Tamandua tetradactyla: one gene and its partners. The protein of the gene in region 3 interacts with the protein of the main gene of each other region in a pairwise test. Links are inferred from orthologs where the notes say so. Each region holds a gene or a part of one and is shown on either strand. Other genes may lie near its edges. The genes, in order: CNOT11, CNOT4 and CNOT1.

What was found.
Region 1: the proteins of CNOT1 (region 3) and CNOT11 interact in binary tests that used the Homo sapiens proteins (3 or more experiments, as listed by UniProt). The link is inferred for Tamandua tetradactyla from reciprocal best matches to the Homo sapiens genes CNOT1 and CNOT11.
Region 2: the proteins of CNOT1 (region 3) and CNOT4 interact in a two-hybrid assay, tested with the Homo sapiens proteins (3 studies listed by BioGRID and IntAct, with this or other methods). The link is inferred for Tamandua tetradactyla from reciprocal best matches to the Homo sapiens genes CNOT1 and CNOT4.

Annotation. Positions count from the first base shown.
Region 1 is NC_135343.1:6,824,546-6,831,666, forward strand, and holds the start of CNOT11 (CCR4-NOT transcription complex subunit 11), read left to right. Parts: upstream 1-4,083; 5' UTR 4,084-4,171; coding exon 4,172-4,685; intron 4,686-7,121. UniProt on the Homo sapiens protein: Component of the CCR4-NOT complex which is one of the major cellular mRNA deadenylases and is linked to various cellular processes including bulk mRNA degradation, miRNA-mediated repression, translational repression during translational initiation and general transcription regulation.
Region 2 is NC_135327.1:178,202,458-178,210,496, forward strand, and holds the start of CNOT4 (CCR4-NOT transcription complex subunit 4), read right to left. Parts: upstream 3,056-8,039; 5' UTR 2,602-3,055; intron 1,896-2,601; exon of another isoform or gene 1,873-1,895; 5' UTR 1,810-1,872; intron 1-1,809. UniProt on the Homo sapiens protein: Has E3 ubiquitin ligase activity, promoting ubiquitination and degradation of target proteins. Involved in activation of the JAK/STAT pathway. Catalyzes ubiquitination of methylated RBM15.
Region 3 is NC_135342.1:52,306,381-52,314,335, reverse strand, and holds the start of CNOT1 (CCR4-NOT transcription complex subunit 1), read left to right. Parts: upstream 1-4,876; 5' UTR 4,877-5,189; exon of another isoform or gene 5,190-5,299; intron 5,300-5,566; exon of another isoform or gene 5,567-5,661; intron 5,662-7,955.

The DNA of each region.
Region 1 (7,121 bases), on a different chromosome or scaffold from region 3:
CCGTTCTTGCAAGATCATGAATAAATTCTTTTCTTCTCCATAATCGGGTGAGCGTTTATTCTCTTTCAGGTATGGCTTTCTTTCTAACACAGCCTATTACCTACCTCTAGTGTTTCTGGGTTACCGGTTGGGGGGGTAACACCCACCTCCTTCCCCCCAGGGAACTAAACGGAAAGAACTTAGAAATGTAATTAAAAAGATGCAAGAACAAAAAGGAATTCTAGATGCCAAACACAACTAATGCAGATTCAAAGAAATGGCCAATTAATTAAAAAATCCCAGGACACTGAACTTCTTTTTCTTATATTAATGAAACGGAGAGAGCCATTCAACACGTAAACAGATGGTAAGGCAAAAGCATCAGCTATTAGAGAAGAGGGCGTGACAACTGTGGGGCAGCATGGTGTGGCTGACACCGGGGTATGGCAGGGTAAGGCAGCAGCCCCTCTCTGCTGGGAACAATGGGGACCCCCTCCCAGCACCATAATCCCCTCAGTACAAGGAACATGGGATGGCTGCCTCCAGAGCGATGTCTCCAAACTATAATATTACAGGAAAGTGATTGGTTTGGGACAGACTGGGTTAATAGACCTAATGTTTCCTGGGAAGCTCCGAACAGAACTCAGTGTTACGTGGCACCAATTTATGACCCCGGTTGTCCCCGGGTTGGACAGGCAGCTGCACTCTAGGACCACTCTGGTGTCAAGGGAGTATTCCTAAGACTTTCCTGAAAAGCAAACTCACCAGGAAAGAGGCGGGACAAGGAGTTCAGGCAAAGACTTTATCAGGGAGATACAGAGCCACCTGGGGGTAGACGCAGCGTTTCAAGAGAGAAGCAGCCACCTCGAGGTGGCAAGGGATAGGGTTTTTAAGGTTTAACGCTGGGGGTTGGGGGAAAGAGTTAGGTAAGGTTCTATTATCTAGTTTTCAGAATTAGGGGGTTAAGTTAGGAGTTGGCAGTGCTTCACTGGTAAAGTTAAAATTTAAGTGGTGCCTGAAGCATGCAGGGTTGTGATCGCCTTCTGCCTGTGGGTGGAGGTTGAGTAATGGGGGTTATTGTAAGAGGGCAGTTGCTGGAGCATGAAAAGGTGCAGGCTAGGGTGCGAGAGCTGTTTGAAATGTTTGCCAGAGGTAGGTCACATCATGGGGGGAAGGGGTCCTGTTCTCCAGGCCTAACATTTACCACTGGGAGCAAAATCTACCACTGCTAAAAGTTCCATGAGCCTGGTCAGTATTTCATTGGTACAATCACCTGGTCACTGTATTTCTGCCTTCATTAGGCATAGAAGATGTTATATTTAGGATAGAAGCACTGAAAAATTTTATTCAACAAGCTTTAAATGACAGCCTCAACAGTGTATCTCTTTTAAATAGTGAAACAACTCCAATGAGTAAAGCAGTACGACAAAACCAAGGGCTCCAGTTGTTTTGATAGCTTTGCAGGGAGGGACACATGGTATAATAAAAACTAAATGCTGTACCTATATACCGAATAAATCTGACAATGTAGTTAAAGTGTTAGGACATTTGAAAAGTCAAATTTATGTAAGAGGCTCTGGACCCCTCTCCTTTGGCATATTTAACTCATTTAGCTGGCTTTCCACAGGAATAGTATCTTGGTTTTGTTCAATATTACAAGCAGGACTAATGATATTACTACTAATAATTACAAACATACTTATCTTTAAATTCTGCCTCTGTCTCTTATCCCAGCCTTGCCCAGACAGTCCTCAAGATTGGGGGGAATAAATGAACAAGAGTTAGGAATTGTCCTGAGAAATTAAGAATTAACAAATGATTATGATTACTGAATTGTTATATCGATATTTTTTCTTATTATCTAGTATATTACAGAAGAGCCAAAAGGAAATAGCTGACATTACTGAAACCCACTGAATTGCAAACTGTAAAATCTTCAGGACCGGCCCCACCTTGTACCCCTTATTAGTCTTATCATCACAAAGGCAACCCCCTGATTTTAGGGGACTGGAGTCAGCTCAGAACTATTGACTTGTTTCTGTTTTACAAGTTCGGAGTCTTATAATCACAAAGACAACCCATTAATGTTAATGAAAGAAGCCGAGTCAGCCCTAACTTTAACCATTGGCTTGTTCTTGTAATGGTTATTCTAGTTTAGTTCTAGCCTAGCTCCACTCCTTTACATTTGTAAACTGTAGTTGATTAAACTTGTTATAATAATGGTAACAGCTCCATCTCTCCTTGTTTGAATCAATAAAAAACCCTAAACTCCTTAGACTAAAAGAGACAGATTTTTAGGCTGAAAGGCCATCTGAGCTCTCTCTTTGAAACTCCAGTGCCACAGACTGGCTGTGATACACATAAGACACAAAACCCCGGGTTTGTGTGAAATCAAATCCACAAAGCACAGCATTCTGAGGCCACTCTGTGCACAGGACAAATTGTTTTCCATACTGGTTTGGCCCTTGATGTCTTTACCGTATTATGAAAATACAGTTACAATGATGATGAAGTTAAATTGTGTTCTGTACAGTCGGTCTAAAAAGAGAGGGAAATTTGTGACCCATATGAGAAAGAATTAAAAAGGTTCAGTGTACTATTTCAGTTCCTAGGTATACTCAGTGATCAGATTGAGCTGATTTTCAGTGGGGTCCCAGGCTGCACTCAGTTACCAAGAGGCCTTCTGGGGCCCCAGAGCAAGCTCCTCTGGGCACAATGGGTGCGGCTTAATCTATTTTGCTTACTTCCTTTCAGTAATGAACAACACTGGCACATAGTAAATGCTCCAAAACAGTAGCAATTGTTAATGAACGCCCACATGCTGGCAGCCATGAGGTGGGTGTGGAGAACTACCTAGAACAAGTTTAGGTCCTGAGAGTTGGTTTCAAGAAACATGCAGGAAACTCTTGGATCATCTTAATCTTGAAAATGCAAAGAAAATTGTTTGGTTGCTTTAACCATTAATGTTCAGTCGTTTTGAAAAATCTTGGGAAAAACAGTAAAGCCTATTTATTTGTAGGTCTGATGATACAAACACAATCAAGTTTACTATGTTAAAAATAAAACAAAATGAGTACTTTCAACTAATCTGAACTGTTTTTCTCAAGAGTCCCAGCATGACCACGGTTATATTTGCTGCTGTTAGGTCTCTTTTTAGAAGGCAGTTTAGCAGTAAATTGAAGAAGCCTTCAAATTTGCACATCTGTGGCCCCAGAAATTTCACTTCCTTAAATTTTCTTTAAGAATTAAAATTAGGGAGATGCTTAACGTTTTAATACTTGACCTGCTTACATTGGGCAGCGCAGACGGAATTTCCCAAATTTGCTTGGTAAAATAAACTTTCTGTTGGTTTCTGTACCTGGAGGGAAGGGCCCGGCCAGTGCTTCGTGGCCCAGACTGCACTCTTGAGTAGCCGGGGGAGTTGTTTTGATTTCTTTTTGCTGTGAATACCCGAATCAGGAGGTGAGGCCAGGCGTGAGTGTGCCTAAAGCCTCCCCAGGAGCTCTAGCACGCGTAGCCACTGTCCGGAAGCAGCAGCCTAGGGCAGGCTAGGGGGAAAGTGGCACGGCCACAAATTGCGTAAACGAGTAACTACTGCAAACTTTTCCCGTAATACTGTTTAAAAAAAAAAAAAGTCCAAAATTTCACGGGCAGTACATTTTCATTCAGCAAAGAACGAGGATAAGACTGGAAATTAACTTCGATTATGAGAAATGGGGGGTGTCTTAAGTATGTGCATTGACAACGTTTTTACAGTCATCAATCTTGGATGTTATATTAAGAAAACTACTTAGAATCTAAAACGCGTTCTCCCTTAAACAACATACCAATATTTATCCGTACCTTCTCCGGCCAGGAACCGCCGTGGCGGCCGGCAGTGCCCGCTTCGGCTCGCAGCCGCGCACCAGATGAGCCCGGGCTCCACTGCAGGGCGAGACCCAACCCCCGCCCCCGCAGGCCCCGCCCCCGCAGGCCCCGCCCCCGCAGGCCCCGCCTCCCGCCCGACTGTCTGGCCGCGCTCCACCAGCCTCGGTTTCGTCCCGCACTGCCCGCCCTGCTCCGCGGCGTGGGATTTCCCCGGCGTTCTTGTTTACGACGCAGTCGTGCAGCAGCGCGCTTTACGACCGCGAGGACGGAGCGAGCCGGCGCCAGGCCCGCTGCGGCCGGGAAGCAGGGAGGGCGGGTGAGGTTGATGCCCGGTGGCGGGGGGAGCGCGGTGTCTGGCCGGCTTCTCAGCGCCGCGGAGCAGAGGGGGGCCCGGGAGGCGGTGGGGTCGGCGTCCAGGAGCGGCCTGGGAGGCTCGGGCGGCGGCAGAAGCGGCGCAGGCGGCCCGGGCCCGGGGAGCGGAGGCCCCGGGGGCCCCGCGGACAGGATGAGCCTGACCCCGAAGGAGCTCTCGAGCCTGCTGAGCATCATCTCGGAGGAGGCGGGCGGCGGCAGCACCTTCGAGGGCCTGTCCACCGCCTTCCACCACTACTTCAGCAAGGCCGACCACTTCCGCCTGGGCTCGGTGCTGGTCATGCTGCTGCAGCAGCCGGACCTGCTGCCCAGCGCGGCGCAGCGCCTCACGGCGCTCTACCTGCTCTGGGAGATGTACCGCACCGAGCCGCTGGCCGCCAACCCCTTCGCCGCCAGCTTCGCGCACCTGCTCAACCCCGCGCCGCCCGCCCGCGGCGGCCAGGAGCCCGACCGGCCTCCGCTCTCAGGTAGGAGCCGGGCGGGCGCGGGGGGCTCGGCGGCGCGACCCGAGCGTGCGCCGTGCGGAGTCAGATTCGGCAGCTTTCCATCTGCGCTGCTGAAAAATGATCCTCTGAAGTTGATCTCCCCCTTCCCGCCCTCTGTGGGTCTAATGTCCGGGCGGGGTGGGGTTGGCTTAATAACTAATTCACGGGACCAAAAATGACGCCTCTCAACAGTACAGGCTACCAGGTCTGCAGCTATGTGGGGCTTGACATTTTTAGTGCCTCAAATAAAGCCCGTTCGAGGTGTGTGGAGGTATAGCTCATGACGCTTTGGACCTGACCGGGGTTTTACGTCCCAGATGAGTAAACAGGAGTCAGTATTAAGAACTCGTCGAAGTTGTCGGCGGAAATACACATTAAGCAATATTTAAGGATTTTTCAGCTGTTTTCCTAGGTCTCTTAGGTGCCCTTGGATCATGAGATGGGAAGGACAGAGGATGGAAGGTGGTCTCAAACGCAGACTAGAAAATGCGTGACTAGTAAACATAAAATACATACTTGTACAGCATTGTTGAATCCGTGGGTTAGCTGAAGGGTTTTTGCATGTTTGTTTTTTTAAAGCTCAACTTGGAGATTTTTTTTTTTTTTTACGAGGATTTACTTACTTTGGGTGAAGACTTGCATCCATGTTAGGAAAAAAGCAGAGAGGGGAGATTATGGGTGGTAGGGGTATCTGGGAGATCTAGATGATAACTGTAGTGCACGAAGCAGATAGTTAGAGGTGGGAAACAGCTACATCTTTCAGCCCTTAACTAGTGTGAGAATGGGCAAGCCACACTATAGGTAGGGCTAGTTATGCATGGAACCAGAAAGTCAGATGAAAACATCACAAGAAAAGAAAATTACAAACCAATATCCCTCAAATAAAGGTGCAGAAATCCTCAACAAAACACATGCAAACTGAATCTAGCAACACATTAATAAGATTGTACAGGGCGGGCACTGGTGGCTCAGTGGCGGAGTTCTCACCTGTCATGCCGGAGACCGGGGTTCGATTCCTGGTGCCTGCCCCTGAAAAAAAAAAAAAAGAGATTATACATCCTGAACAAATGATTTATCTATTATAGGAGCATAAGGGTGTTTTAACATGAGAAAGTGCAAAACACCACATTAATAGCATGAAGGTAAAAAAAATAGCATTTCAATTGACACAGAAAAGGTGTTTGGCAAAATCCAGCACCATTTCTTGAAGAGAACTTAGGCATGATAAGGGGCATATATGAAAACCCACAGCTAAAAGTTAATGGTGAGGGCGGGCCACGGTGGTGCATCAGACAGAGTTCTTGCGTGCCACACCGGAGACCTAGGTTCCCTTCCCGATGCCTGCGCATGCAAAAAAATAAATTAATTAAAAAAAAAAAGTTGATGATGAAAGACTGAAAGTTTTTCCCCTGAGATCAAAGCAAGACAGGGATGCCTGGTTTCACCCCTGCTATTTAACATTGTACTACAGCTATGAGGCAGGTAAAAAGAAATAAACAGCATCCAAATTGGAAAGGAAGAAATAAAACTCTTTTTGTAAATGGCATGATCCTATAAATAGAAAATTCAAAAGAATCTACAAGAAAGCTTCTATAGCTAATAAGTGAAGTTAGCGAAGTGTTGGATTACAAGAGCAATATGTAAAAATCAGTTGTGTTTCTACATGCCAACAATTAAGAGTCCAAAAAAAAATTCCATTTACAATAGCAGCTAAAATAATAAAGTATCTAGGAATAATTTTTTTTTCACATGGGCAGGCACCAGGAATTGAACCTGGGTCCCCAGCATGGTAGGCAAGAACTCTGCCTGCTGAGCCACTGTGGCCCACCCTAGAAATAAATTTAATCATGGGTATATAAGACTTGTACAGTGAAAACTATGAAACATTGCTGAAATAAATTATAGGAGACCTAAATACATGAAAGATATTTTATGTCCATGGATTAGAAGACTTAAATTGTTAAGACGTCAATACTGTTCAAAGCAATTTACAGATTCAGTACAATCGCAATCAAAATTTTAGCAGCCTTTCTTACAGAAATGGAAAAGCTGACCCTCAAATTCATAATGGAATGACAGGGAGGCTTGGACTACCAAAACCATCTTGAGAAAGAAAAACCAAGTTGGAGGTACTCATTTGCTGATTTCAGAACTTATTACAGACTGTGTTAGTTAGATTCAGTTGTCAACTTGGCCAGGTGAGCATACCTAGTCTTGTTGCTGCGGACATAAGCCAATGGTACATGAACCTCATCTGTTGCCAATTACATCTGCAGTCAGCTAGGAGGCGTGTCTGCTGCAATGAGTGACGTTTGACTTAATTGGCTGGTGTTTAAATGAGAGATTGCAACCTAACACTGCTAAGCAGCTCCGCATTCCTCATCTCAGCACTTGCAGCTCAGCCCAGGCCTTTGGAGA
Region 2 (8,039 bases), on a different chromosome or scaffold from region 3:
AGCTAAAGAATTCAACATATTAAACTTGGCAGAACGTATTTCAAATTATCCAAAGAAACTATGAAAGTATGAAGTTGTAATATGCAAAATGTTACATCTGAAAACTTAAACCATGCAAAAATATTTTAGAAATCTCAATGCCCTATTTCCTGTCAAAGTTATCACGGAGAACTTTAGAAACAGACACACTAAATAGACACCCTTAAGTCCCCAAAGTTAATTCATTTTGATTCAGAGGGCTACAACTAAAAATTTAACGGTTTCAGGCAATAAGCAAGAATGACAGAAAAGCATGAGAAAAAAATAGTGAGGCAAATATCTTTACGAAAGAAATGATGTATGAAAATCATTTATCCCCCTCTGTCAGACAAACAATCCTCTCCTAGAATCCTTCCACTGCCAAGGATTTCTAAACCTGTGTGTGTCAGGCTTGTTCAAAGTAGAAAGGTTTCTTCATCAACATATTACAAAGAAAAATGAAGTATATATTTTTACTTGGAGCTGAAGATTAACTGTATTATATACGCTACAAATGATTAAACTAAGTGTAAATAATATTTCAAGAAAATTTCAAGTTATAACTTAAGACAAGGTTGTCTATGTAAATTGTTTCCAATTCTCCAAAGAGTAGAGATTTACTTATTTTTCCCAAATCAGGGCTTAAATGGTTAACAGGGAAAAAAGAAGCTTTATAAACAGCTTTTCTAACCTTAGTTTACCATTTGATAAAATAGACCATTCATCACAATCAAGTAAATATAACACCAAATGTTAGATTCCTCAAATTTCACAGATGAAATGTGCAAAAGTGACTAACGGGTAACTGTATTTGTATTTATACTTAAGATATTATTACTTTTGATAGATATATTGCTGCCTGAGATCGATACTATGACTTAAAACATTTTTACATACATCTTAAGAACACAAGGTCTTATTTAGGCTTAAACTTGAGATGACTGTATCTGATCTATATAATCCTCTGTGCTTTTCTGGTAATTATTTCACAGTGGACTGACTGTAGTAAAGGCTCCTTCTTTCCATTATGCCATTAACCAGTCCATTTCAATTTCTGTTTTTGCCAAAACATGGACATCATAAGCAATCTCTCGTTTCTTGTTTTTTGCTTTTCAATGTAGGTAACAATGCCAGTGGGTGTCAAGAAATGCATATTATGTGCACAGCTCTGTCATTTCTTTTACCAGTCCTTTTTTCTATGGATAAAATATGAGGGATTTCATATGCAAAAGAAATACCATTTTTCTTTTGCAAACATACCTAATGGATTTTTAAGAGAAGACAATTTATTCAGATAACTACCACTCTAGATGTGTTAAATGAGAGAACTTTGCAAATACACAAATACTAAGTAAATATGACATTAGAAGAGGAAATTTCCACTCAAACCACAAATAAGATATCAATTAAGCTCAATAATATAACTCACTTGGTCAATAATCAATGCACAATATGGAAGGGATCTGTAACCCACATATAATCAAAAAATCATATTTGCTCGTGAAGTTCACAAATGAATTTTGTTTGTGCACCAGATTTATCTTATGTTGAAATGCTTAGGGTAATATTTGCTGGTATAATCCGAACCCATATTAAGTAGCCTGAGAAAGACAATTCAGGAGAACACTTAGTAAGGGGAAATCGGTTCAAAATGAAAACAAAACAAAAAAAATAGACATCCCAACAGAGTAAGTAATCCACAAACAGATCACTGAAAACAAAACGAAAACGTTCCTCTTCTGGGTAGTCTGAATAAATGATCTTTACTCATGATGTCTCATAGTATCCTACCTCACTTCATTCACTTCCCAACTTCCTTGACTTTTCGAGGGTCAACATGGAGCATCCCTTTTTCTGGAATTATATGTTGAAAGAATCTGTTTAGGAAAGAGGGAAGGGGCGGATAATTCCCACGGCTGAGAAACAGGTGGGTTAGATCGGGCAGCAGTATAATCTAGGTATTTAAGGGGCAGCTTTAAAATGACATGTGGTTAAAGCAAAGATCGGAAGAAGCTCTAATGTGGCATACAGACTACCGGGGCTGAATGCAAGCAGAAAGGGGGAGGAGGGGCAAAGGCTAATTCCAGAGTAGTAGCAGTGGAGGAAAAAAACAAGCAGCAGGACAAGTGGGCAAAGAGCGGTGGGATTAATAAGCAGCAGCAACACCAGTCAGAGTGGAAGTGATGGCTTTGGTCCTGGGAGACCAGAGGCAGTGGGGAAGGACGTCAGAGAAGGGAAAGAGCTGGAGAAACAAGTATTGAGACCTAAGACCTGCCCCAACAAAAATATACAGAAGAGAGCTGAAGAAGCAGCCCCGGCCTCCCAAATGAAGAAATTTTAGAAGGAGAGTTGCTGCTCGCCGCCGCCGTTGCCTTCTGCCCCGCTCCCTTTTCCTGGTGGTAACTGCTGTGGCGTAGAGGAGAGAGGGAGGAGGAGGAGGAGGAAGACCAAGGAGGAGGGTGAAGATGAGGCGGGGGGTGGGGAGAAAGGGGGGTGCGGCCTGCTCAATCCCTGCGAAGCCTCCGCTCTCTCGTAGCCGGTCAGCCCCGGGTTTCCCCTAAACCCAGCCCCGCATAGACTCACCCGCCTGCCTTGCCTCGCTTTTCCCTTAGCCGACTCCTCGCACTGCCTCGTCCACACAAGAGACCACTGAAAGACTGTCGGGGGAAATACTCTTCAGAACCAGGCTTGATTGCTTCAGCGAGTCCGACCTTTACGGCTGAGAGAGAGACTATCAGCTTTCGGTGGGTTCCACAGCCAGACGGGCCACCATCTTACATTAGGGTAAGACTCCTCCGGCCTTTCGTGCGCAGGCGCACGCCGATCAGGCCTGGAGGGGCGGGGGAGGGGCTGGAGGAGCGGCTGGCGACGGAATGGGAGGTTGCTGCGGCCGCTCCCGCAGCACTCTGGGAGTTGTAGTACTCAGAGGGTAACCGCCCAGCTGCAAGCCGGGAGTTGAAGTTCTAACTCCGAGGGCTGACGGGATCGCCCACCTCACGTGGCTGCTAGACTGCTGCCTTTCTTCGTGTTTTGCCCCTGTCTCTATCCGCGTGTTCAGCTCTACTGTCATTTGGGCGGCAGTATCGTTAATCTTTCTCTTTCCTCGCTGTTTGCTGAAATATGGGATACCCAAACTCGAGGCAGGTGTAACCAATTTGAGGGGACCCGAGAACAACTGTCCTCTGCTCCACCTACCACAGATCTGAAGGAGGCGGGATAGAGACAAGTCGTGGGTAGGAGGAGCGCGGGATTTGATCTAGGGTGAGAATTTGATACTGACTTGGCTTCTGTTCTCGGAAAGTGAGCGTTTACTCGTCTCCCCATCTTTGCTCTTTTTGGAGGAACTGTATTCTTTGGCAGTAACCACCCTAAATCCCATCTTCGCCGCAAGTCTCCTGGTAAAAAAATTATCGGAAATTGTCCTGTGCACAGTGTACACAGGATTTAAAGACCCATACACGTATAAGACATGTATTTCTAATGATGTAAATGTGAGAACATTATGCGGAACTCGATGCACATTACTGCAGCTTATTCTCCCCTGCATGGTTTTGTGAGCCAAATTCAAAACAAGCTCCGCACACATCACCATATCCCAAAGAATATAAGAAGGCATCCGCAATCCCTAGGAGTGTCGGGGTATTCTCAATCATAAAAATCAGTCATTTTACTAGTCCCTCCTGTGGCCTCCTAGAACGCCGGTGAAAGTGGCGCTCGAAACAGTCGCTTTTGCTTATTGCGTGTATTCTTCACCCATTCATAGAACAAGTACTCATCGAGCGCCTCTGTGCCCCGCATTATTCTTGAAGGTGGGAATAGACAGTGAGCTAAACAGACGAGATTCCCTTTCCCCATTCTACTGTGTGGGGAGAAAGAAGAGAAGGCAAATCAATTTTTTAAATATATTATTAAAAATGTATGGTATGTCAAAACTAATAAGGAAGAACTTTAAAACAAGGGAGAAGAGTAGGGAAAAGGTTGTAATTTGAGATATGAACCTAACCTGACATTTTTTAAAAATACAAGTTAGTTCTTTATGTTTCAATTTCTTCACCAATAATTACTTGGTGAAAAATTAAGATGTATAATCATAAAATGTATAAACTCACATTTACCATAAATTTGAAATTGTAGAATCGTGAAATGACTACCTAATAAGGAAACTTGGGAAATCATTGGGGTCTACCTTTATGCAGCTTACTGCCTCAACATTCAGTATAGGTGATATGTATTTTTTTAATATGTTTATTTTTCTTGTGTCGATAATCCTTTTTATAGTGTAATAAAAACAAAGTAATAAAAAGAATGAAATTAAAAGAAGAAATGGATCATTTCTATTATTGAAGATTAGAACCATAGCAGTAAAACTGGATGGCATTTTAAGCATCATCTAATCCAATGGTTCGCACCTTATCTTACCAGACTTTTTTTAAATAACAAATATTGTTATACTGTCCTTTGTTATCCTAAGATGAAATATATACGTAATATAGCCTCCGTCCACAATACATGATTTTCAATATATATAGTTAAGCTCAGACATGACAATGTTAGAAAATAACAAAATCATCATTTGCTTGCACTTATAAATAAAATTCCAATGAAAGTGACAGCTACAAATACTGACACAAGTACAGTATTTGGCCATCTCTGGTGGACACTAGTCTTTCTTCACTGTTCATAGTAGATGCATTCCCTGAACTATGTTTTAAAAACTTTGTGTTCATATGTAAAATAAAGATTTTTTTTTTAATATGTTTTAGGTTAAGATCATTTTAAACAGGTTTTTCATCTAGAGCAGGACATTTGAAAGTCATGAGGGACATGAAACACTTCATTGTGAGAAATAGTCCCTGCATTGCACCAAGTCTAGCATACCTGGCCTCTGCACTCTAGAGGCCGGTAGGGCCTCCCCCAAGTATCCAACACTTGGGGACAATACCACACCTATTGAGACTCATTAAGTGATAGAGACCTATGAGTAAGGAAATGGTATTTCCTAGGTTGCCAACTAGTTAGTGACTTTGTCACCACCCTCTCAAGCCAATGCTTTTTTTACTACATTATATTACCAATTCCTCATGTATATATATGTGTCTAATTTCATATAGACTTGTCCATGCAACACTTAATTCTCATAATTTTTTTACACCAGTTTTAATGAGAATAAAACAGCACATTTATTAGTGGCTTACATATCTGCCTTGACAGCAAAAGTGATTGTAACTTGCATAAATAATACACTCAAAAACATTCCATACTCCTCAACTGGTGGTTAGAGCAGCACAATTAATGAAAGAACAAAAAAGTGACTATTGTCGTTAGTAGGCATCAAAAATAAGTTTTGACAAAGAAGATGAGAGGAGCATTCTTGAACTCCTGGATGCCAGGAAGCAGAGTTTTTCAGAATCAAAATAGGAAAAAACCCTAATTAAGAGCTTGTTCTAGTTTGCTAGCTGCTGGAATGCAATATACCAGAAATAGAATGGCTTTTAAAAAGGGGAGTTTAATAAGTTGCTAGTTTACAGTTCTAAGGCTAAGAAAATGTCCCAATTAAAACAAGTCTATAGAAATGTTCAATCAAAGGCATCCATCCAGGGAAAGATGCCTTGGTTCAAGAAGACCGATGAAGTTCAGGGTTTCTCTCTCAAGTGAGAAGGCACATGGCAAACACAGAGTTTCTCTCTCATCTGGAAGGGCAAATGGTGAACACGGTCAGGGTTCCTCTCTCATCTGGAAGGGCACATGGCGAATACGGCATCATCTGCTAGCTTCTTCTCCTGGCTTCCTGTTTCATGAAGCCCCCGGGGAGGCATGTTCCTTCTTCATCTCCAAAGGTCACTGGCTTGTGGGCTCTCTGCTTCTTGTGGCTGTGTCATTCTGCTCTGCTCTCTCTGAATCTCCCATTCTCCAAAATGTTTCTTCTTTTATAGGACTTCAGAAACTAATCAAGGCCCACGTGAATGGGTGGAGACATGTCGTCACCTTATCCAGTTTAACAACCACTCTCCATTATATCACATCTCCAAGGAGAAGATCTAATTACAGTTTCAAACATACAATGCTGAATAGAGATTAGAAGAAACAGCTGCATTTACACAATGGATTAGGATTAAAACATGGCTTTTCTAGGGTACATACATCATTTCAAACCAGCACAGAGCTCAAGGTCCCAACCCTCAGTGTCACAGAGTTGGTTCTGCTGCTTTTAATGAATTCATTATTTTAACACATCAAATAACCTGACTTTTCTTTACCCAAAATTAAAACCGAGGACATCAATACATTATAATACTCTTCAGAAATGCAAACACCCTGAAATAGATCATTATCACACTCTTCACAGGGACTTGCTATTTAGGTACAGTTAGTAGAATTTCATATTTGAAGTGTTTTCATAAAATTACAAGTGTCACAATCTTACAAGTTCTGTTTCCTCCTATGCTGTTCACCAAAGCACTCTATTGTTAAGAGTCTTCTTCATTGCTCGAACATAGAAACTGCTTAGTAAAATTCTTCAGCTCATTTTCAAATTGAACAGCCTTATTTCTTAAGAGTTTTGAAGGATTTTGTATCTTCTCCAACTGATCTATTTCTTTGGATAATCTAGCATTTTTTTCTTTCAGGTGTCTGAGTAATATCAACTTGTTGGCACAGGTGCACAAAAGTGGTAGCCTTCTGTTGTACTTGATGACTGCAGTTTGCACTTGTGAAGCTAACAATCATCTGCAGTTTTGGTTGCACCGTTCACAAACTGCTGTTTAAAGACTCTCTCCTTGGGGCGAGTGGTCCAGGACAGTCTTTCATAAAGCACAAAGCTCCATACATACTTAAAGAAGCAGATATGAGTTTCCAGCCTACCTTTTCCAGATCACTCCTCCAACAACAATGATGCCTATAGAGGTTCTACATGTAAGAGAAGCTAATCCTGTTATTAAGGTAACCATAAGTTCTTCCTGTGATGCATTATCTGGCATTGCTGGACTGGTAGAAGCAGTGAGAGTAGAAGCTAAAGATCTAGGCAGCTGAAAGATATGTTCTGGTAATCCAAGGAGCAACCTCTGAGCATTATTAGGGACCAAGAAACGATGTTCCAGGGAAGACCAGCCCAGGGAAAAATGGAATACAATATCCTCTTGAAAATCAGAGCATAATTTGTGGCAATTTAGGTCATAGCTAAGATCAATTTTTTTGCACGAGATCAATGTGTATAGTTTACTCTCTATACCAGCTAGAAGTAATGGCTTCAAATTTTCAATCATTTCTTCCTGGGACTGAACCATGGAGGCACTGACGTCACTGGTGCACCGATCGGCCAAATTCCTTCCTATACCAGCTTCTTTGTGCTTATTTAGCTCATTCTTATACGCTTTCAATAACTTGGAGTAGGATGAAACTCAGAACAAAATTCATCAAAAAATATGGAACGCTTCACGAATTTGTGTGTCATTCCTGCACAGGGGCCATGCTGATCTTCTCTGTATTGTTCCAATTTTAGTATATGTGCCGCTAAAGCAAGCACTAATTCTCATATAATTTTAAATGCTAATCAACATTAAATTCTGTTACCTAGCTTGCCTCATGAGTCCTCAGTGTGGAGGAATCTGTTTATTTTATATATGTTTTTACCTCCTTCTCTGTGTTAGGTATTATGCTAGGTGCTGGTGGAATAGAAGTACAGTGAGCAATAAAACATTTTCCTTGTTCTCATAGAGCATAGTGCCTAGTAGAGGCAGCAGATTAAATAATCATACATATAAGTAAATATAAATATATAAACATAAATATAATCCCTTAAATTTAATTATGACTGGTGATGAATACTATGGAAAGTGTTTACAAGATGTTTTGAGAGAGTATGAGAGGGGGTACTAATTTAGATTGGTGAGGGAGAGGAGAGTAGTCAGCGAAGATCTTCACCAGGTTAAAAGGGATAGGGTGAACACTGTTGCAGCCTTGACACCAACTGCAGTGATAAAGACTGTATTTCTCCCTATTAATTCCCACTTCTAAGTTTACCT
Region 3 (7,955 bases):
GTATGTTCATCATCATGATCATTTCTCAGAACATCTGCATCAATTCAGAAAAAGCAATAAAAAGAGGACAGAAAAAATTCATACATACCATCCCCCTTACCCCTCCCCTTCACCAATCACCAGTATTTCAATCTATTAAATTTATTTTAACATTTGTTCCCCCATTGTTTATTTATTTTTAATCCATATGTTTTACTTGTCCATCAATAAGGTAGACAAAAGGAGCATCAGTCACAAGGCTCTCACAACCACACAATCACACTGTGACAGCCATATCATCATACAATTATCTTCATGAAACATGGCTACCAGAGCACAGCTCCACATTTTCAGGCAGTTCCCTCCAGCCTCTCCATTACATCCTTTTTGTTTTTAAATACCAAAAAGCACCAAACACAAACATTCTTAACTTTTGACCTTCCATTCTACATATATAATCAGTAATTCACAATATCATCACATAGTTGCATATTCATCATCATCATCATTTCTTGGAACATTTGCATCTATTCAGAAAAAGAAATGAAAAGAAAACAGAAAAAAATTCATATATGCCATACCTCTTAACCCTCCCTTTCATTGACCACTAGCATTTCAAACTAAATTTATTTTAACATTTGTTCCCCCTATTATTTATTTTCATTCCATATGTTCTACTTGTCTGTTGACAAGGTAGATAAAAGGAGCATCAGACACAAGGTTTTCACAATCACACAGTCACATTGTGAAAGCTGTATCATTATATAACCATCTTCAAGAAACATGGCTACTGGAACACAGCTCTACATTTTCAGGCAGCCTCTCTGTTACACCTTAACTAAACAGGTAATATCTATTTAATGTGTAAGAATAATCTCCAGGATAACCTCTCAACTCTGTTTGGAATTTCTCAGCCACTGACACTTTATTTTGTCTCATTTCACTCTTCCTCCTTTTGGTAGAGAAGATTTTCTCAATCCCTTGATGCTGAGTCTCAGCTCATTCTAGGGTTTCTGTCCCACGTTGCCAGGAAGGTCCACACCCCTGGGAGTCATGTTCCACATAGTGGGGGGGCAGTGAGTTTGCTTGCTGTGTCGGTCCAAGAGAGGCCAAATCTGAGCAACAAAAGAGGTTCTCCTGGGGGTGACTCTTAGGCCTAATTTTAAGTAGGCTTAGCCTATTCTTTGCAGGATTAAGTTTCATATGAACAAACCTCAAAATTGGAGGCTCGTCCTATTGCTTCGGCTGTCCCCACTGCCTGTGAGAATATCAAGAATTCTCCACTGGGGGAAGTTGAATTTTCCCCCTTTCTCACCATTCCCCCTAGGGAACTCAGCAAATACTTCCCTATTCACTGTTCGAATCGCTCTGGGATTTATCTGGGCATCAATCTGGACAAACCTACAAAATCTCATGCCCTACGCAAGGTTCCATGTAATATGGTGTTCAATTAAGCTGTCCACATAAGTTATATTAGGAAATGCGCGAGTCAAACTATAAATTTTGTACCAAAGAAACATTTTTTGGTTGTCTCACACATAGGTTAAAGTTTTCAAATATTAATTACCATCTATTTTCAACACCCTGCATTACTGACATTCCTTTGTTCTTCCTCATGCAGAAACATTTTTAAATTTGCACATTTAGTCACTATCATTATACACTCTAGGCATTCCTAGATTATACCACCTCAGTCTTTATTGTCTATCTTTCCTTCTGATTTTATTTGGCACCCAGAATTCTTGACACATACTTGATGGACTCTGATCTCCAGCCTATCGGGGGAATTCTGTAGGTCCTGTGACTGAATACACAGTGCACTTGTGGAGGGTGAAATCCCAAGAGTGGCTTTGTGCAGCTCTGGGAGAGGGGCTGGCTGTGGCTCAAGGGTCTGGAGCAGCCTAAATTTAAAATAGCAAATCATTTTCCTCTCAAGGATGGGCTGAAGTGGGGAAAGGCACCTCAACTTTATCTCAGCCGATCTTTATTTCAGGAGCTCTAGGTTTGAGACCTGAAAGAGTTGTAGAATTACACAGTTGATCTTAGTTGACCTCTATCAGTCTCAATTTCTACCTCTTTTAAATTACACAAATACAACATGAATACTTTCTTTTGTAAAAAGTTTAAATAATACAGTAATACACAGGATAAAAAGCAAACATTCCCTTTACCATTCCTCATTACCATTCCTTTCCCCAGGGATAAAGGGATATCCGTTGGGTAATGTAGCTTTCTAAACCTTTTAATATATTTAGTTCTATGTAAATACAGGAATATATAGTTATTTTCTTCCATACAAATGGTAACACTGATTTTATTACCATTCCCTTTCCCACCCAATCTTCACTTTTTAAATTTAACAAGAAATCTTGGTAATCATTCCATATCACTAGCTATAAGTTTACCTTTTTTTAATTAAAAAATGTTTTTTTAATTGTGAAAAATAACATATATCAAAAAACCCATAAATTTCAAAGCACAGTGCACACATTAGTAACAGAACAGATTTCAGAGTTTGGTATGTGCTCTAGTTTGCTAGCTGCCGGAATGCAATATACCAGAAATGGAATGGCTTTTAACAAGGGGAATTTAATAAGTTGCTAGTTTACAGTTCTAAGGCCGAGTGAATGTCCCAGTTAAAGCAAGTCTGTAGAAATGTTCCATCAAAGGCATCCAGGGAAAGATACCTTGGTTCAAGAAGGCTGATGAAATTCAGGGTCTCTCTCTCTCAAGTGAGAAGGCACATGGTGAACACAGTGAGGATTTCTCTCTCATCTGGAAGGGCACATGGCCAACACAGCATCACCTGCTAGCTTCTTCTCCTGGCTTCCTGTCTCATAATGCTCCCCAGGAGGCATTTTCCTTCTTCATCTCCAAAGGTCGCTGGCTGGTGGACTCTGCTTCTCGTGGCTATGTTGTTCTGCTTTGATCGCTCTGAATCTCTTTCATTCTCCAAAGTGTTTCCTCTTTTGTAGGACTTCACAAACTAATCAAGACCCACCCAAATGAGTGGAGACATGCCTCTATCTAATCCAGTTTAACCACCATTCTTGATTAAATCACACCCCCAGGGGATGATCTAATCGCAGTTTCAAACATACAGTACTGAATAGAAATTAGAAGAAACGGCTACTGTTACAAAATGGGATTAGGATTAAAACATGGCTTTTCTAGGGTACAGACATCATTTCAAACCAGCACAGTATGGGTTACAATTCCACAATTCTAGGTGTTTCCTTCTGGCTGCTCCAAGATGCTGGAGACTAAAAGAAATATCAATATAATGATTCAGCAATCATATTCATTTGTTAAATCCTATCTTGGACTCTGTTATAACTTCATCTTCTCCTTTGATCTTTCTCCCAATATTTAGGGGTACTTGGGCTATGTCCATTCTAATTTTTTCATGTTGGAAAGGGCTGTCAATAATATGGTATAGGGGAATGGAACTAGTCGATGCACTGGAGAGGCTGGCCACTCTGAATTTCAGGACTTATCCAGCCTAGGAACCTTCTGGAGGTTGTAGGTTTCTGGAAAGTAATCACAGTGCATGGAACCTTTGTAGAATCTCAGATAAATCCCTAGGTATTCTTAAGGGTTGGCAGAAATGGTTTTGATTGGAGTTTGGCAAACCATGATAAACAGCAATATCTAGTTGAAGCTTGGCCTCCAGAGTAGCCTTCTGCCTCTATCTGAACTCTCTCAGCCACTGATACCTTATTTGTTACAATTCTTTTCCCCCTTTTGGTCAGCAAGGCATTGTCGATCCCATAGTGCTAGGGTTAGACTTATTCCTGGGAGTCATATCCCACGTTGCCAGGGAGACTTTCACCCCTGGATGTCATATCCCACATAGTGGGGAGGGTAACAATTTCACTTGCAGAGTTGGGCTTAGAAAGAGAGAGGCCACATCTGAGCAACAAAAGGGATCCTCTGGAAGTAACTCTTAGGTATAACTAACTATAGGTAGGCTAACCTTCTCTGCTGTATAAATCAGCTTCACAAGAGCAAGGCTCAAGCTCAAGGGCTTGGTCTGTTGACTTGGGACAGTTTGGGACAGTATCAGTGTTTTCCTTGGTGGTAAAGTTTAATAGTTCCATATTTTCTCTCCAATCCCTCAAGGGACTTTCCCAGTACTTTTTAAATATACGCTCAATATACTCTGGGATGTATCTGGGCATTATATTAAGCTATACAGAATTACAGGCCTTCATTCCCATTCTGAGGTTCCTGTGTTTGGGTTGTTTAAGTGATCTATCCAGACTGGTTGAGTTAGATTATGTGCTACAGAAAACTTAGGTTCTGGACAAAATAAAACTAATTTTTTTGGTCTCAAAGAGTATAGCTGTACCTTTCTTTTTAACAACTTCATTGTGTTCCAGTACATGGCAGTACAATACATTTATTTACCATTCCCCTATTGTTTTCAATCTTTCTGCTCTTTATAAATAATTCTTCAATCATCTTTGTGCACACGAATAAAACTGGGGAATAAATCCCTAGACATGGGATCAATTACTGGGTCAGCGGGTCTGTGCATTTTTAGGTTTGATAAACTGGGCCAAAATACTATCTATACAGATTTTGTCAATTTTTATCACCAGTAGAAAAAGAACTGTCCCTTTGACTTTTTTCCCCAGTGTAAAAGGATAGAAGTGACCTTTTTGATAGCGGTTCTAGGGCTTAAATCAGGAAGAGAACTTTAGCTTCCTAATTCTCCATAAGGCGTCCCTAAATCTAGGTGAAAGAAGTTCCCTTGACTGAAGCGGGACAACCTATGACCAGGTGAAGGTCCTGGAAGACTACATTCCCCAGTATGCACTGCTTCTCCCCAGGCGCTGCCAGTGACGAAAGTGGACGCGTTAGATTTGCGTCAGGAACGGGGGGCGGAGGAAACTACACATCCCAGGGCGCACAGCGCCACCACACTAGTCCTAACCTGGCTTGCTTCCCGGTTGTTGGCGGTCCTCGCCTTACTCCACAAGGCGAGGAAAGGGACAGGATCGGAGGAGGATGTTTAGGCTTGAAAGTCCTGTAGTCGACCGGACTGTGACACTACGAAAAAGGAAGGAAAGTGGAGGAATGCTGTCTAATGCCGAACTCAAAATTGTTACCGCGTAGAGTGGCGAGGGGCTGTGGACCACCTTTCCTTACTTATTGTTTCTCGGAAGCAATGCCAAGGTCCCATTGGTCGAAGACCTCGAGGGCAGGTGGGACGTCCGTGGACCCTGAAATCGAAGTTATTTGTATCTCTCCATTGGTCCTCGCTTCGCGCGCAGGCGCGAGAACGCTAACTCCAGTCCCTGGGGACTGGTGAGCGGCAATTGGTCAAAACCCGAGAAGTAGGAGTCCGGATTGGTAGTTGCTAGCAGGAGCTTGGTTTCTTCCTTGACTTCTGCAAGTGATGGGGCTTGATTGGTTTAAATCCGCGGGCACCTGTCGGTGATTGGGCGGGCACTATGGGCTGGGTATGATCATTGGCTGGTGGTCGGGCCATCCCTCCACGGGCGGGCAACGAATGGTGAAATGGGAACGGGGAGGGGAAAGGCCGCGACGTGAGCGCGCGACCTCCGGCGCCATTTTGTAGAGAAACAAGCGGAGTTAACCGAAGAGGGGTCGAGGAAAGCCGGAGTCGGGGGACCCAGGAGTTTCCTGTGTCCAGCGCCGCCGGAGCTGCCTAAGGTGAGGTGGGTTTGGGTCAGGGGCCGCCATAGGCGGGCCATGTCAGCTACGGAACGCGAGAGCTTGGGTGAACGCACAGGGGGTGGTCCTAGGGCCATTGGAAGCGTTTCCCAGAGCTTCGAGGAGCGAGGGGCAGCCGGGACGGGAAACTGGCCAGGCGAGGGAGGGCGGGCTCTCTCCACCGCTCGCGGCACCTTCAGGTAGTGAAAAGAAGCGGCCGTCCCGAAAGCTCTGGCAACCGGATGGCAGAGCGCGGGCTGCGACCCGGAGTGGTCCCCCGGCCCGGGCCTGGAGGTTCTGAGGGCGGCGGTGGCGGCAACTGTTCGGTCGGCCTGGGCCGCGCTTTGCTCGAGCTGCATCCATCTCGGACTCCACCAGCCTTCCGCAACTGCTTCTTCCTCTCCAGGCTCTCAGATGGGTGTAGTGGGCATTGGCCCCCGAGGCCTAACTCCATGGGCAGGGGGGACAGTGTTTGGAGTTGTTACTGACTCCCAGTTCTTGTCCAAGTACCGGGTGCTGCCGGTCTTCCCCTAGCCCCCAGCACGTTGTCAAATCCCCATGTTTCGGGTGTCTGTAGGTGGGAGGGGCGAGCGGGAGGGAGCGAGCACTTCCTTATTACTTCTGGTCACAGGTTTACTTCCACTCGCGCGCCCGTGCGGTCAGACTTTGTCCGACGTCGACCCCCCACCTACCCGCCCGGTGTCTCCCTTAGCAGCGGTCTTCATCCATGGGGAGTCCCCCCTAGTGAGCTGAACACTTGCAGGCCTCAGTGCTGGTGAGACAGTTGCTTTAGATCTTGCAGGGGTCACTTAAGGCCGAACACACTGGAAATATCCTTTTCCAGTGCTCAAACAGATGTGACCCCCACGAGGCGTAAGCTTTGTTGGTTGAAACACGCACGCAACTGGTTGATAATGTGTGTTTGAAAATGTGTTTAAAGTAAACTTTATTAACAGAGAAGTAAATTATTGCCCCTGAAGTCACTCGGTCAGATGTCACATTTCTTAGGACTTTAATTCAAGTCTGTTTTCTTCCTGAACATTCTGTACCAATATTTTATTTCCCTGCCTATTTCCTTACAATTCAATTGTCTGTGACGACTTGGGGATTTCTTTAACAGTCGTAATTGAGTGAGTTTGAGTATTTGTTTTTGAAAGAGATTCTGAACGTCTCGTTCAGACGTTCGATAGGGATAGTGATACATGGATAAAAAAATGATGAGAAAGGCAGTAAAAATTCTGAAAGTATGTCAAACAGATTAAGAACAAATTTGTTTTTGTTAAGTATTTAGGTTGGAAAGTGATTTGTGTGAGGTTCCTTCTCTTCCAAAGATAGGCAGTCCTGCATTTTAGATATTAATAAGGTGTATGGTAACAGTTTAAATAGTCTTGTTTTAGGACTCTGCAAATTGTTACCTTGTCTAAGGGAAAAATGAATTGATGATACTTTGAAATGGTGGCATGTGGATAAAACTTGTTCGGAAAGTTGGAAAATTTGTCCCATTTCAACAAGAGAGGGTCACAAGTCATTTAGTGGAAATTCAAGTCTAGAATCAAGGCACAAAGACTTGACCATTACATTATGAACTGAAAATATTTGCCTTTCTTATCTAAGTCTGTGATCTTAGAAGTTTTTAAGGCAAGGTTTTGTGACATTGTGTAACAGAAGTGAAATACTCTTCCTTGGTTTCTAAGGCAGTTGGATGGATGCCTGGTTTAGTGTTTTTTTTCTTTCTGGTCTCTAAATTTCTACTGGAGGTTTAAATCCTGGTCTCCCTAACCTGTACTGTGACATCCTCTTGCCTTTGCGTTAAGTTGTTAAAAACAAAACTCTCTTCAAAAAGTGCTTTAAAGACTAATGTCTGGTGAATGCATAATTCTATGATTATACTAAGAGCCATTGCTTGTACACTTTGGGTGGATTGTATGGTGTGTAAATAAAATTGTTAAAAAAGAAAGACTTCTTAAAATTTCCTTATATGTTGCTTTTCCAAGTGTGCTGTTTTTGGTTAAATTCTGTTTCAGTTACAAGAAGCTTTTTTGTTAATGAGCTTAAATTTATGAACTTGATTCTTTATTTAAATCATTCTATGAGGTAAAAAATCTTTGGCACCCATTGCCACCACAGAAGGGAATGGGTCCACAGTAATTCTAATTGAATGTATTTTAAGATGGTGATTTTTTTTGTACAGTATTTATGTTTCTTGAATTAACAAAAATAGTAATCTGCCATTTTGAAATGTGTTATCTTGAGAATTTGATATATTCTCTTATGAAAGAACAAAGCTAACTTTT